Linked DNA regions of Mus musculus: all the other regions are reported to be linked to region 1. The links are microRNA targets in miRTarBase. Many come from high-throughput screens and were not tested one by one. Region 1 holds a microRNA gene; each other region holds the end of a gene's coding sequence.
The links. Region 1 holds the annotated microRNA mmu-miR-302c-3p (AAGUGCUUCCAUGUUUCAGUGG, at 2,877-2,898, opposite strand). A microRNA usually pairs through its seed, bases 2 to 8, with sites in the 3' UTR of a target mRNA and lowers its output. Matches are read on the target gene's strand: a 7mer-m8 pairs with bases 2 to 8, a 7mer-A1 pairs with bases 2 to 7 and ends in A, and an 8mer does both.

Region 2: the mRNA of Rundc1 is a reported target of mmu-miR-302c-3p. Seed matches in the 3' UTR shown: 7mer-m8 at 1,533-1,539.
Region 3: miRTarBase lists Syt13 as a target of mmu-miR-302c-3p. Seed matches in the 3' UTR shown: 7mer-A1 at 962-968 and 7mer-A1 at 2,796-2,802.

Annotation. Positions count from the first base shown.
Region 1 is chr3:127,544,304-127,548,303 of GRCm38, reverse strand. Mir302c (microRNA 302c) reads right to left here and starts at 2,941; the gene lies at 2,874-2,941. It overlaps Larp7 (La ribonucleoprotein domain family, member 7), which reads left to right. Exons shown (of 13, transcript NM_138593.2): 2 at 758-942; 3 at 1,114-1,214; 4 at 1,300-1,383; 5 at 1,486-1,650; 6 at 1,735-1,828; 7 at 1,901-2,257; 8 at 2,334-2,478. The coding sequence starts at 759. Gm51018 (predicted gene, 51018) reads right to left here and starts at 3,215. Exons shown (of 2, transcript NR_146435.1): 1 at 3,158-3,215; 2 at 1,401-1,670. It overlaps Mir302b (microRNA 302b), which reads right to left and starts at 3,076; the gene lies at 3,003-3,076. It also overlaps Mir302a, Mir302d and Mir367.
Region 2 is chr11:101,433,711-101,437,942 of GRCm38, forward strand. Rundc1 (RUN domain containing 1) reads left to right here. Exons shown (of 5, transcript NM_172566.4): 5 at 1-1,956. The coding sequence ends at 607. Among named protein-coding and RNA genes, the nearest start is that of Rpl27, 6.4 kb to the right of the region's middle.
Region 3 is chr2:92,953,166-92,957,397 of GRCm38, forward strand. It overlaps Syt13 (synaptotagmin XIII), which reads left to right. Exons shown (of 6, transcript NM_030725.4): 6 at 198-2,886. The coding sequence ends at 502. Among named protein-coding and RNA genes, the nearest start is that of Gm13791, 35 kb to the left of the region's middle.

The DNA of each region.
Region 1 (4,000 bases):
TTCTGGAAGGATCCAGAAAAGGCAAACTTAAAGCCAGATGAAGAGGTCAGGTAACTGTTGGCATTAGGCAAACACTGAGCTCATTGGGGTTCCGCTTAAATGGTAGGAATGAAAGCCTGGAAGGATACGGTGAGTTGAAAACCTGAGATGAGATCCAGTATTCACCTATTTTTTAAAGACAAGTACACTGTAGCTGTCTTCAGACACGCCAGAAGAGGGCGGCAGATCCCCTTACAGATTATAGATGGTTGTGAGGCACCATGTGGTTGCTGGGAATTGAACTCAGGAGCAGTTCATCTCTCCAGCCCTCCCCCCCCCCCCATAGGGCTACAATGTACTTAATTAGTAATTATCAGGTAGAGGGTTTTTTTTTCCTCTTTTTTTTAATTAGGTATTTTCCTCGTTTACATTTCCAATGCTATCCCAAAAGTCCCCCATACCCACCCCCCCAATCCCCTACCCACCCACTCCCCCTTTTTGGCCTTGGCGTTCCCCTGTACTGGGGCATATAAAGTTTACAAGTCCAAAGGGCCTCTCTTTCCAGTGGTGGCTGACTAGGCCATCTTTTGAGGTAGAGGTTTTACTACTTGAATTTACTACAGAATTTGCACTTGCCTGACAGACCAGCTTTAAAAACATCCTTACTGATGTCAGTGAGATGGCGTCCTGCAGCAGGAATTCCTGCAGCAGGAAGGTTCAGGTGACAGGGGCATTTAGGCACTTTACAGTTTGGCATTTTTGTTTTTTCCCCTCTCAGAATGGAAACTGAAAACCAAAAAACTATGGAAGAAAGCACTAAGAGAAAAGAAGAAAAAAAGAAGCGCTCCCGGGTTAAACAGGTGCTTGCAGATATTGCTAAGCAGGTGGACTTCTGGTTTGGAGATGCAAACCTTCACAAGGACAAGTTTCTGCGAGAGCAAATTGAAAAGTCTAGAGATGGATGTAAGTTTTTTGTCTTTGTTGGAATTTCCAACTCACATTTATATGGGGCCAGAGCCTCCTGAGAGCTCAGTACTGTATATGTTCATGACACACAACTGCATGTTGAACTCGTGCTTGTTTGCACACATGTATATATTCCAGTGTTTAACATCCCACTATCCTATTTACTAGATGTGGACATTTCTCTCCTGGTGTCTTTTAACAAAATGAAGAAGCTGACAACTGATGGGAAGCTAATAGCCAGAGCATTGAAAAGCTCATCTGTTGTAGAGGTAAAAAACTTACATTTCAAGTCACCCACATCCAATTAACTACTGACTTTATTTAGCTTTCCTTTTTTTTTCCCCCCTCATAAAGTTGGACTTAGAAGGGACCAGAATCAGGAGGAAAAAACCCCTAGGTGAGAGACCAAAGGACGAGGAGGAACGCACGGTATATGTGGTAAGAAATGACACAAATTTTAATTCTAGTTCATTTATTTATAATTCATTTATTGGTAAAAATGTAGGAACTTTAAAATGTTCATACCATGATTTATTACAGGAGTTGCTCCCCAAAAATGTTACTCATAGCTGGATTGAGAGAGTATTTGGGAAATGTGGCAATGTGGTTTACATAAGTATTCCACATTACAAGTCTACTGGGGATCCTAAGGGATTTGCCTTTGTGGAATTTGAAACAAAAGAGCAAGCAGCAAAAGCCATTGAGGTACGTACTTCTGTGGGACCCTGAAAAGTAAAGAAAAAGCACAGGGTTAACAAGAGTAACAAATTCTGCAATCAATCTTTTCAGTTTCTGAACAACCCACCAGAAGAAGCACCTAGAAAGCCTGGTATATTTCCCAAGACAGTGAAAAACAAGCCCATCCCTTCCTTACGAGTAGCAGGTGAGTGCTTACTTAGAGTGGCCAAGTAAACAATAAACTATTATGACTGTAAATAATAAAATCTTGTTACAGAAGAGAAGAAAAAGAAGAAAAAGAAAAAAGGCAGAATAAAGAAGGAAGAGAGTGTGCAGGCCAAAGAGTCGGCCGTGGACAGCAGCAGCTCGGGCGTGTGTAAAGCCACGAAGAGACCAAGGACGGCCTCTGAGGGCTCCGAAGCAGAAACCCCGGAAGCTCCAAAGCAACCTGCAAAGAAAAAGAAGAAGCGGGACAAGGTGGAAGCATCCAGCTTACCTGAAGCCAGGGCAGGGAAGAGGGAGAGGTGCAGCGCCGAGGACGAAGACTGCCTCCCCCCAAGGCCAAAAGCTAAGAAAAGGGCTCAGAAGGATGGCGTCGGCCAAGCAGCTTCCGAGGTCTCCAAGGAGAGCAGAGGTACCGTGGCAGTAGGGTTACAAATGTTTTAACCAGTTTAACCACAACAACGGACTTACGGAAATCTTTTTTCTAGACTTAGAATTCTGCTCTACTGAGGAGGAGAAGGAGACAGACAGAAAAGGTGACTCACTCTCAAAGGTGAAGAGGAAGCATAAGAAGAAACACAAGGAGAGACATAAGATGGGCGAGGAGGTTATACCATTGAGAGTGCTGTCCAAGTAAGTGGCCACTGACACAGGTCCATCACCATTGCTAAAGTGCAATTCCAATTTCTATTCAACAGAGTTGCATGTTAGCAACAGTGACGGCCTTGGTCTATCTATATGCAGCACAATGAAGATTAAGTAGGAGCCACCACACTCAAACATGGAAGCACTTATTTTTAAATGCACAGCAAGTGCCTCCATGTTAAAGTAAAGGAGGCCCCTTAAGCAGACTTGAGTGGTCTTTACAAAGGCATGAATATAAAGGAAAACATACCATCACCAAAACATGGAAGCACTTACTTTCTTAGGTCTAAAGCAAGTACAACCACGTTTAAGTGGTGGGAAGCCCAGTCAATAACTCCCTTAACCTACAGCATCTTAGAGAAAATGTTGAACAGTTTAAGACACCCCCACTGAAACATGGAAGCACTTGCTTTTGTTTAACACAGCAGGTAACCCCATGTTAAAGCAGAGGGGACTCCCATCAGACTCTGAATTAAAAGGCTAGCTTTCTTATTCCAGAGTTTCTTGAATTCACTTCTACTAAAACATGGAAGCACTTACTCTTCGATGAGACAGAAAGCATTCCCATGTTAAAGTTGAAGGGAACCCACCCACAAGGCAACTAGTTAAAACAGAAGAGCAAACCCACAGGAAAGTAAAGTGACCCGGTTACAGACATAAGCTTTACCTCCTTTACCTTCGTGACCGCCTCCCAAAGAGTCCTGTTCTGTCCTCGGAGGGTGAAAGACGCCGACTTTAGACCACTTGTATTTATACTACTCCTAACTCCTGAGTTCCTTTTGGCTTTCTATCTCTGAGAATCATTACAAGACCCTTTGTTATTTTAATGTATCAGCTCTGGGGAAAGTAGGTCCTGGGGACCTGGGTAGGTCTGGATTTTTTTTTTTTTTTTCCTTTTTTGAAGTAAACAGATGTCAATGTTAACTGCTAAAACCATTACCACAAGATATCCTCCTCTTTAAAAAAAATCTCCTATCTGCCCGTTTGATGGCACAGATTAGGGTAACAATGAGCGCTCCCACAGAGCCAGGAGATGCATTGTGCTTCTCTGGAGGAGCCCTAGCTGTTTGAAGATACATCTACATGTTAAATGTATGTAAATAAATAAATTGCTTCCATGGGGTGTTTTTTTCTTCTTAGAAATTCCTTTTGATTCAAGTAAATCCTAAGGAATGTTAGCTCTCAAATTGGAAGCAATTTGAGAAATCTTTAAGTTTTAGTCTCTTACTTTTTCTCCAGGTTGCCTGATTTAGTGATTTTACTTAATAGAAGTGACTCAAAAGTGATTTTACAATTAAATATTAGAAGCAACCAGGAAACTCAAGCATTTTCCTTGCCTGTTAAGACAAAGAAACTTCCTTTGTGTGTTTGCTAGGTAGCTTTAACAAATGGCTTAACAAATAATGTAAACATATGCCTTAAAAGAAAGAAAAGTCAGAAAGACTTGCAGTTCCTATGAACATTGTGTTTAGATCAACTTCAGATTTCTAGTTGGGTCGTCTTATCACTG
Region 2 (4,232 bases), not on the chromosome of region 1:
GGACCTCTCTCTGGGAGGCAAGGATGAGCTGACCACGGTTGTGCGGAAGGAGCTGACAGTGGCTGTGAGGGACCTGCTGGCCCATGGACTGTATGCCTCCTCCTCTGGGATGAGCCTTGTCATGGCCCCCCTTGCTTGCTTGTTGCCAGTTTTCTCCTCAGCCCCCGAGACCATGCACCCATGGGAGCTCTTTGTAAAGTACTACCATGCCAAGAATGGCCGTGCATATGTGGAATCCCCGGCCCGGAAGCTCTCACAGTCCTTTGCTCTGCCTATAATGGGTGACACTGCTGTGACCCCCAAACAGAGCCTTCTGACAGCCATCCACCTGGTGCTGACAGAGCATGACCCTTTCAAGCGCAGCGCTGACTCAGAACTGAAGGCGTTGGTGTGCATGGCACTGAATGAGCAGCGCCTGGTGTCCTGGGTGAACCTCATCTGCAAGTCAGGGTCCCTCATCGAGCCCCATTACCAGCCCTGGAGCTACATGGCCCACACAGGTTTTGAGAGTGCCCTCAACCTGCTCAGCCGCCTTAGCAGCCTCAAGTTCAGCCTTCCTGTAGACTTGGCCGTGCGCCAGCTCAAGAACATCAAAGATGCCTTTTGATGGGAATGCCTAACCTTAGCCCCCACACACCTTGCTCTAAAGACGTAGATGTCCTAGAATTGTAGATTAAAAGCCAGGGAGTCGGAGGAAGGGTTGGAGATAGGTTTTTTCCACCCTTTTCAGGTGGTCAGCTAATGGAGGCAAAGCCTGTTCTTAGCGTTTTAGAAAGACGTGCCAGAGCCTCTCATCAAAAATAGTGTTGGGGCTGAGAGACAGCTCGCCAGGTCAAGATGCTTGCCATTATACCTGGCAGTCTGAGGGGTACAAGCAGAGAACAGAGCTCTCACTACCTGTCCTCTTACCTCCACACATGAACTATGGCACATGGGAATCCCTGCCCAAACACAAATCAATGTAATAGTAAAATCTAAAACAGAAACAGTATCAGGACCAGAGGTGTAGCTCGGTGGTATGGTGCATGCGAAGCGTGCACAGCCAGTGCTGTGGATGTTAAAAGCAAACAGAAGGCGCTGACCCTAGCCCACCACAGTGTGCCCGGCCCGCTGTTGGAGCCTGTGGTAACAAAATCAATTACCACACAGCTAATGCCCAACTCACCGTGCCATGTCTGAATTTTAGAAAATGTGGGTTGTGCCCACCCTTCTCTTGCTGTATGAGGGAGTTCTGGAAGACACTGACTGACCTTGAGTCTCCTGCTAGACAAGCTGGGAACAGTCTTCCTTTACCAGAAGCAGCTTTGAGAGCCCTAGGGCCAGAACTGTAAGTGCAGTTGTGAGTTCTGATTCCCCTTTGTTCAGAGGGAGTTTTAAGATGAGCCTAAGATGAAGTCTCCCTGCTGAGGCGATCCTCACACTCAGTCAGCACTCCTCTGGTTATAAAGAATGACAGCTGATCTCCTGGGCTGTTTCTCGAAAGTCACTTTCTTCCGTGGGCCTCTCAGGACTGACCCAGTCTTCAGAAGTGAAAGCACTCAGAAGAATCCGTCAGGAGCATACTGCACTGGTGGTGATGGGTGCCACAGCCCCCTGGGGTGTGACTCATTGGCACCACTTGTTGGAGACAGGAGCGTGCAGAGCGGCATGACTGAAGGCTCGCAGTGGGCACTTGCTCCAGGGCTCACTGAGGATGGAGAACCAACTGCCGCCTGTGCTTTGTTCCCTGAAATGCACTTTACCTTGTGTCTGCAGTGTGCACTTTGATGCATCATTGACTTCCTGTTCAAGAACACGGCAGTGTTTGGGCTTGGCGTGCAGCTCCGTGATAGAGTGCTTGCCTGGGAATCCTTAGCACCAACCCCAGGGGGAAAAGATAATTGAAAAATATCATGAATAATGATATAACTGTGATTGCTAATAAAGTTTCAGTATTTTGCGTAGCTTCTCTGCAAAGCCCATAGCTCCTCTGCACTCTCTAAGTCCCTCTAGTCCTATCAGCCCATGTAATCTAGGTCAGCATTTGTTTAGAAACTGTCCACTTCCTCTCTGCCCTGGATTGGTCAGGATCTGGTGGCAGTCTAGGTTTTGTATATGTGTTGTTTTTGTCTGGTCACATTCCCTAAAAAGGCCTTGGTCATTTTCATTCATCTTGCCCAGGCTATAGCGTCAGCACTGCAGTGAATGGCATATACACTGCTTCTGAAAAAGCAGTACTCTTAAGTCCACTGGTGAGGCTGTCAGTGTTTGGGTTGGATGAGATGTCTATAGCATGGCCCAGATACACCCTTGTATTGTCTTTTAAATTTGCACGTGTATGGTGGGGGCAGGGAGCATGAGTTCCATGGCTCTTATCTGGAGTTAGTTCTTCTGTCAGTATGTGGGTTCCAGGAACTGAACTCAAATTACTATGGGATGTGGAAGCAGCTGCTAACGTGAGTGGGACAGCTCTATGTACACAATAGACCCTGGAACTGACAGCCTTAAAAGTGACTGCCACGGGGCTGGAGAGATGGTTCAGCAGTTAAGAGCACTGACTGTCCTAAGGTCCTGAGTTCAAATCCCAGCAACCACATGGTGGCTCACAACCATCCATAATGAGATCTGACGCCCTCTTCTGGTGCATCTGAAGACAGCTACAGTGTACTTACATATAATAAATAAATTAATTAATAAATAAATAAACCTTTGGGCTGAGTGAGCAGGGCCAGAACAGGAAAGAAAGAAAAAAAAAAAAAAGTGACTGCCACTAGGTAGTGACACCCTTAATCCCAGCATTTGGGAGGCAGAGGCAGGCAGATCTCTGAGTTCGAGGCCAGCCTGGTCTACAGAGTGAGTTCCAGGACAGCCTGGGCTACACAGAGAAACCCTGTCTCAAACAAGAAAGCATGTTCTGAGTCCTCTGGAAGAGAAGTGACTGCTCTTAACTGGAGCACTCCAGCCATTGGGGGTTTTTGTTTTTTTGTTTTTTTGTTTTTGTTTTTTTCAAGACAGTGTTTCTCTGTATAGCCCTGGCTGTCCTGGAACTCACTTTGTAGACTAGGCTGGCTTCGAACTCAGAAATCCGCCTGCCTCTTACTCCCGAGTGCTGGGATTAAAGGTGTGTGCCACCACACCCTGCAGCCTTTTGGGTTTTGGGTTTTTTTTTGTTTGTTGTTTTGTTTTTGATGTTTAAGACAGAGTCTCTCTATGTTTCCTAGAGCTCCATATGTAGACCAGGTGGCCTGGAATTCAGAGATCCTCCTGCCCCTGTGTGTAGCAGGCTTGTGCCACCAAGAGGCCTTGTTTTGTTTATGAGGCAGTCTTCACTAGCCTGTGCTGGTCTTGAACTCATGTAGCCAAGGATGACCTTGAACTCCTCTGATCCTCCTTTTACAGCCTCCTGCTGGGATTATAGTCATGGGCCACCACTCTAGACACAGGTCCTTTTGTTGAGCTACATAATAGCGTGTCAAAGAAATCTCCTTTACCATTCATTTTGGCTCTCTGTAGTGCTTCACACTTGGTGTTCCCCGATGCAGTCAGCCGGTGTGACACTTGTCAGGAGGCCGCCTTCAGGAGATGTCAGTATGCACCTGCAGGCTCACACTGAGCACCATGGAAGCCATGATGGATAGGGAACTTGATGTGCAGACAAACATCAAGCCAGGCAGGTAGAAGAGGCCGAACATCGTAGTCAGCTACTCCCTGATAAAAGAGTCCATTTCAAAACTGGTGGACAGGGAGTCATCACAGTGCTTAAGAGCATTGACCGCTCTTCCAGAGATTCCTGGGATCAATTCCCAGCACCCACATAGTGGCTGCCAAGCATCTGCAGAATCAGGGAATCTGGTGCTCTTTTCTGACCTGCATGCAGGCATGAATGAGATACATAGGCAAACATTTAGGTAAAACACCACATACGTTAAAAAAAGTTTATCCTATAGGTGGAACAACAATATGAACTAACCAGTACCACCCCCACCCTCCCACCCCCCGGAGCTCGTGTCTCTAGCTGCATATGTATCAGAAGATGGCCTAGTCAGCCATCAGTGGAAAGAGAGGCCCCTTGGTCGTGCAAACTTTATATGCCTCAGTACAAGGGAACACCAGGACCAAGAAGTGGGAGTGGGTGGGTGGGGGAGCGTGTGGGGGAGTTTTGGAATAGCATTAGAAATGTAAATGAAATAAATACCCAATTAAAAAAAAAAGGAAAAAAAAAGAAATGAATAGTGTTAAAAAAAAAACAGGAG
Region 3 (4,232 bases), not on the chromosome of region 1:
GCCAGTCTTCCACATTCTAATGCAAGGGTTAGACACGCATCTTTGTCTGTTTTGCTATCTCTAGACCGGTTCCTGACGTCTGGTAGATACTTAATACTGTTGAGAGAATGCACGGTCCAGTGGAGATGTAGGAAACCCCAAGAAGAAGCAGCTCACTTGCTCCCCTACAACTTTCTTTTCTCTGTACCCCTCCCTAGATGTGTCTGTCAAGGTGACCTTGAAACACCAGGCTCAGAAGCTGAAGAAGAAACAGACAAAACGGGCCAAGCACAAGATCAACCCCGTGTGGAACGAGATGATCATGTTTGAGCTACCGGATGACTTGCTGCGGGCATCCAGTGTGGAGCTGGAGGTGCTGGGCCAGGGCGAGGAGGGGCCGAGCTGCGAGCTGGGCCACTGCAGCCTAGGCCTGCATGCCTCGGGCTCTGAGCGCAGCCACTGGGAGGAGATGCTAAAAAACCCACGCCGGCAGATCGCCATGTGGCACCAACTGCACCTGTAGTCGGCCACCTGCCACCGGCCACTGACCGTCTTTCTTGGACACAGTCATCTTCCAGGCTCAGCTGTCAGTCATCCCTCGTGCTCTGTCCACATGCCTATACCCAAAGACAGATGCAGACGTGTTGGCTGAGGCCAAGACCTCATTCCTCTCTTACTGTATTCCCAATACTAAAAAGTGAGCGGTGGCGCCAGGACAGTGAGTGGGACTGGCACTCAGAAGACTGTATCATGCTCATCTGTGTTATGGAAAAAGATATGTGCCAGGTACCCTCAGTCGGCAGCCCCTGCTCACATTGAGCTGAAGCAGTGGTTCTTAACCTGTGTATCACAACCCTCTATCTCCAAAAAATATTTACATTATGATTCATAACAGTAGCAAAATTACAGTTACAAAGTAGCAATGAGAACAATTCTGTGGTTGGAGATCACCAAAACACAAGAAACTTTCTTATAGGGTCACAGCACTAGGAAGGTTGAGAATCACTGGCTGGCCAGCAGGTCTCTGGGCCACTGGGGGGTCATGCCACACTGATGTTCCGGTGGAATACACAAGCCTCTGTCCTTAGCTAGCACAGGGGTTCTGGAGCAGAGCAGGAGGGGCTGCGCTTGATAAGATCCCTTCTCCCCTATCCAGGCAGCCTTTCCTCTTGATCTCCGGGGGCCCAGCACCAGGACAGTGTGAAGGCAGGAACTCTCTGCTTACTTTATTTCTTCTTTTTTATATTTCTGCTGTTCATATTCCACTCTCGAGCTACATTGTGTGTTTTGACTGTTTTATTTAAGGGATTGGAGTGGGTTGTGTTTGTTTTTTTTTTATCACACGTAGAGTGCCCGTTCCCTGGCAGGCCTAGGTTGCCACTCCTCTGGAGTGTCTGCGGCATTCTGAGGACAGCTGTCATGTCACCCCCCCCCACCCCCAAGCTGACTCCATGTGACAGACCTGTTCTTCTCAGTATGCCTGTACTTCAGGACGAAGTAGCTCTGAGCTTGGCTTGTTCCATCTGGCTATGTAAATGAGGAGGTAGATGAACTTTAAAGAGAAAACGTGGTCTCTTGATAACATGCCTCCCTCCAGTTTGGGGGACATGTCCTTTAACTTGGAAATAACAAAAAGCTAGGTTTGATTGCCCCTGTTGATATTTCCAATAGATGCCCCACTAGGAATCAAATAAGTAGCTAGCTGCAGGGGTAGATACTTGTGAGCCGGAATTCGAGTTGTCATTACTTCCTTGCTCCACAGCGCCTCAGTGTGGCCACCTATAGCACAGCACCAATGTCATGGGAGCTTGCCAGTCCAGCTTCAGGAGGTAAGCAAGAGGCATCTTAGCGGGCATCAATTGTTACTGGTCAGTTGGTGGCACTTCCTGGCTCCTCCGTTGGCTGTGCTTCTTCTCCAAAACCTCCTCTGTAAATTGCTCAGAGATGTTAGACTGGGAACCAAAAACTTTCAGTCACCTTTTACATCGGCTTAATCTGTTTCCAGCCATTCCTGTAAGTCACCTCCGAATCAGCTTGGGAAGGAACCTCTCTATGTCTTTGCCAGGGAGTGATTTCTGGAAAGAGGTGGAAATAAAGTGAGAGGCCATTCCAGGCTGGGCTACTGCTGGGAGGTTAGGAGTTCACCCCAGTCCTCTGTGAATCCTCTCCCCAGGACAACTAGGCATCTATTTGTTGAGTGTTTGTCCACCAAGACCGTGCATGTGTCTGTCCATTCTGATTAGAGAAGGCTCTGGGGGCGAGTGAGTAGCTTATCACCTTAACGGAAACATCAGATAAGAGGAGTCCGGGACTGCTGTTCAGGCGGGCAGCTCTCAGATGTAAAGGGGCCCCGGGGGAAGGGGCAGTGTCTGGCCTGAACTGAGGTGGGAATCTTTGGAGGAGAAAGTTGGTCCTGTGCAGTGTTTCTACCCTTGCTGTTTCCTGTTGTTAGATGCTGCGTGTTTGTGATGCCATTCCACATAAAAGCACAAAAAGTCGCATGAGACATCGTGGTCACATGTCTGGTTACACTTTGGAGCACAAAATCTTACAGTGGTAAATAAATCGTTTTCCAATCGGGTTGGCAGCCCAGTGTTTCTCTTTGTTCCTTTACATTAATATTTTAGATGTATAAAATTCAGAAAAAAAATCTCGTGTATCAAACACCCATGAACCTCTGCCAACTTCAATAAACCTTGACGACCACAGTTGAATTTTCTTCTTGTGCCCTATACTGAGAAGACCAGGATCTTACATTCTGATTTGTTATTCTGAGCCTTCCTTTATATTTTTACTAAATGATCATTTGATCCCTGAGCACTAGTGAGTATTTGTGTGTTTCCAAGTTTTACTTCAATTCTTAAATTGCATCACACATTTTTTTTCAACATTAAAAATTTAAGCTTTATGCAGACATGTGGCTCTAACTAACTTCTCTTTCACAACTGTATAATATTCCACTGTATGGATCTGCCACAGCCCATTCTATTGATGTACATTTAAAACACACACACTCTCTCTCTCTCTCTCTCTCTCTCTCTCTCTCTCTCTCTCTCTCCCTCTCTCTCTCTGCCGTTGTTTCCCATGTACATGTATCGTCTCTTGGGGGAAATGTCGAAAAGTGAGTGGAGCTGCTAGGAAAAATAGAAAGAAGCGTGTGCATGTGTGTGTCTGTGTGTGGGGAAATGTTTGTGAGTGTAGGTGTGTGGGTGTGGGTGTTTGTGGGGGAGTGTGTTTGTGTGTGTGTGTGTGTTTGTGTGTGTGTGTGTGTGTTTTGGAGCTTTGACTTCATTCCTGGTAAGGAATATCCAGTGGGTTCTTGAGACTCTTCAAGACTCCCCCCAGCACCCCATCAGTGGAGGATCGAGGAAACAGAGGACAGACAGAGGCAATGGCCTCCTGGAATTCTGCCACCCTAAGCTACCCAGGTGACCCATCTCAGATCTGGCCTCTGAAGGAGGTGTCTTGAGAGTAAGAAAAGGATATTTGATTTTTATTTGAAGGGTTCACTTTATCTTATTTCTGAGACAGGGTCTTTCTCTATATTCCTGGCTGTCCTGGAAAACTCTGTGTAGACCAGACCGGCCTTAAAAATCACAGCTATTTGCCCACTTCTCCCCGAGTGTTGTGATTAAAGAGATGTGTCATCATGGCCGATCAAATTGGAAGGTTCTTAACCAGGAAAGACATCCTGTCAGTCATATGATATTTTCACATTCAGTCCTCACTTTTATACTTCCTATTCCCATTATTACGTCTTAATGGCAACTGGGGGCATTTGTATTTCTGTAATAAGATGGGCTAAGTGGACTTTATTCTACACAGCCAAATAGTATTCACTATAATTCACAGGTAACTGAAGACAGCTCACTGGAGCCCCAAACTAATGTTTGCTATGGCTATCTATAAAAGAGAAACGGTGGGGGTTACTGAATCAAGGGCTTTCCAGTGAAGTGACCTCAACAACAAATCATGCTCACCTCAGCCTGGAGCTGAGTCAGAGCCATGACCATGTAACACTATGTGGTAACTGTCCCTGGCCACTATTAGATCCCCAAGCTAGGTAACTGCCTCTGCACCTAAGCGCTCATATCTATACAATTATTTTGGACTAAATGACCTGCAAGCCCCTTCCAGCTTTAACATTTTTGTATTTCTGCTTCTTAGGGCCATTGCTATGATGAAACAACATGACCAAAAGCAACTTAGGGAGAAAAGGGTTTATATTTGGCTTACATATCGCACACATCACA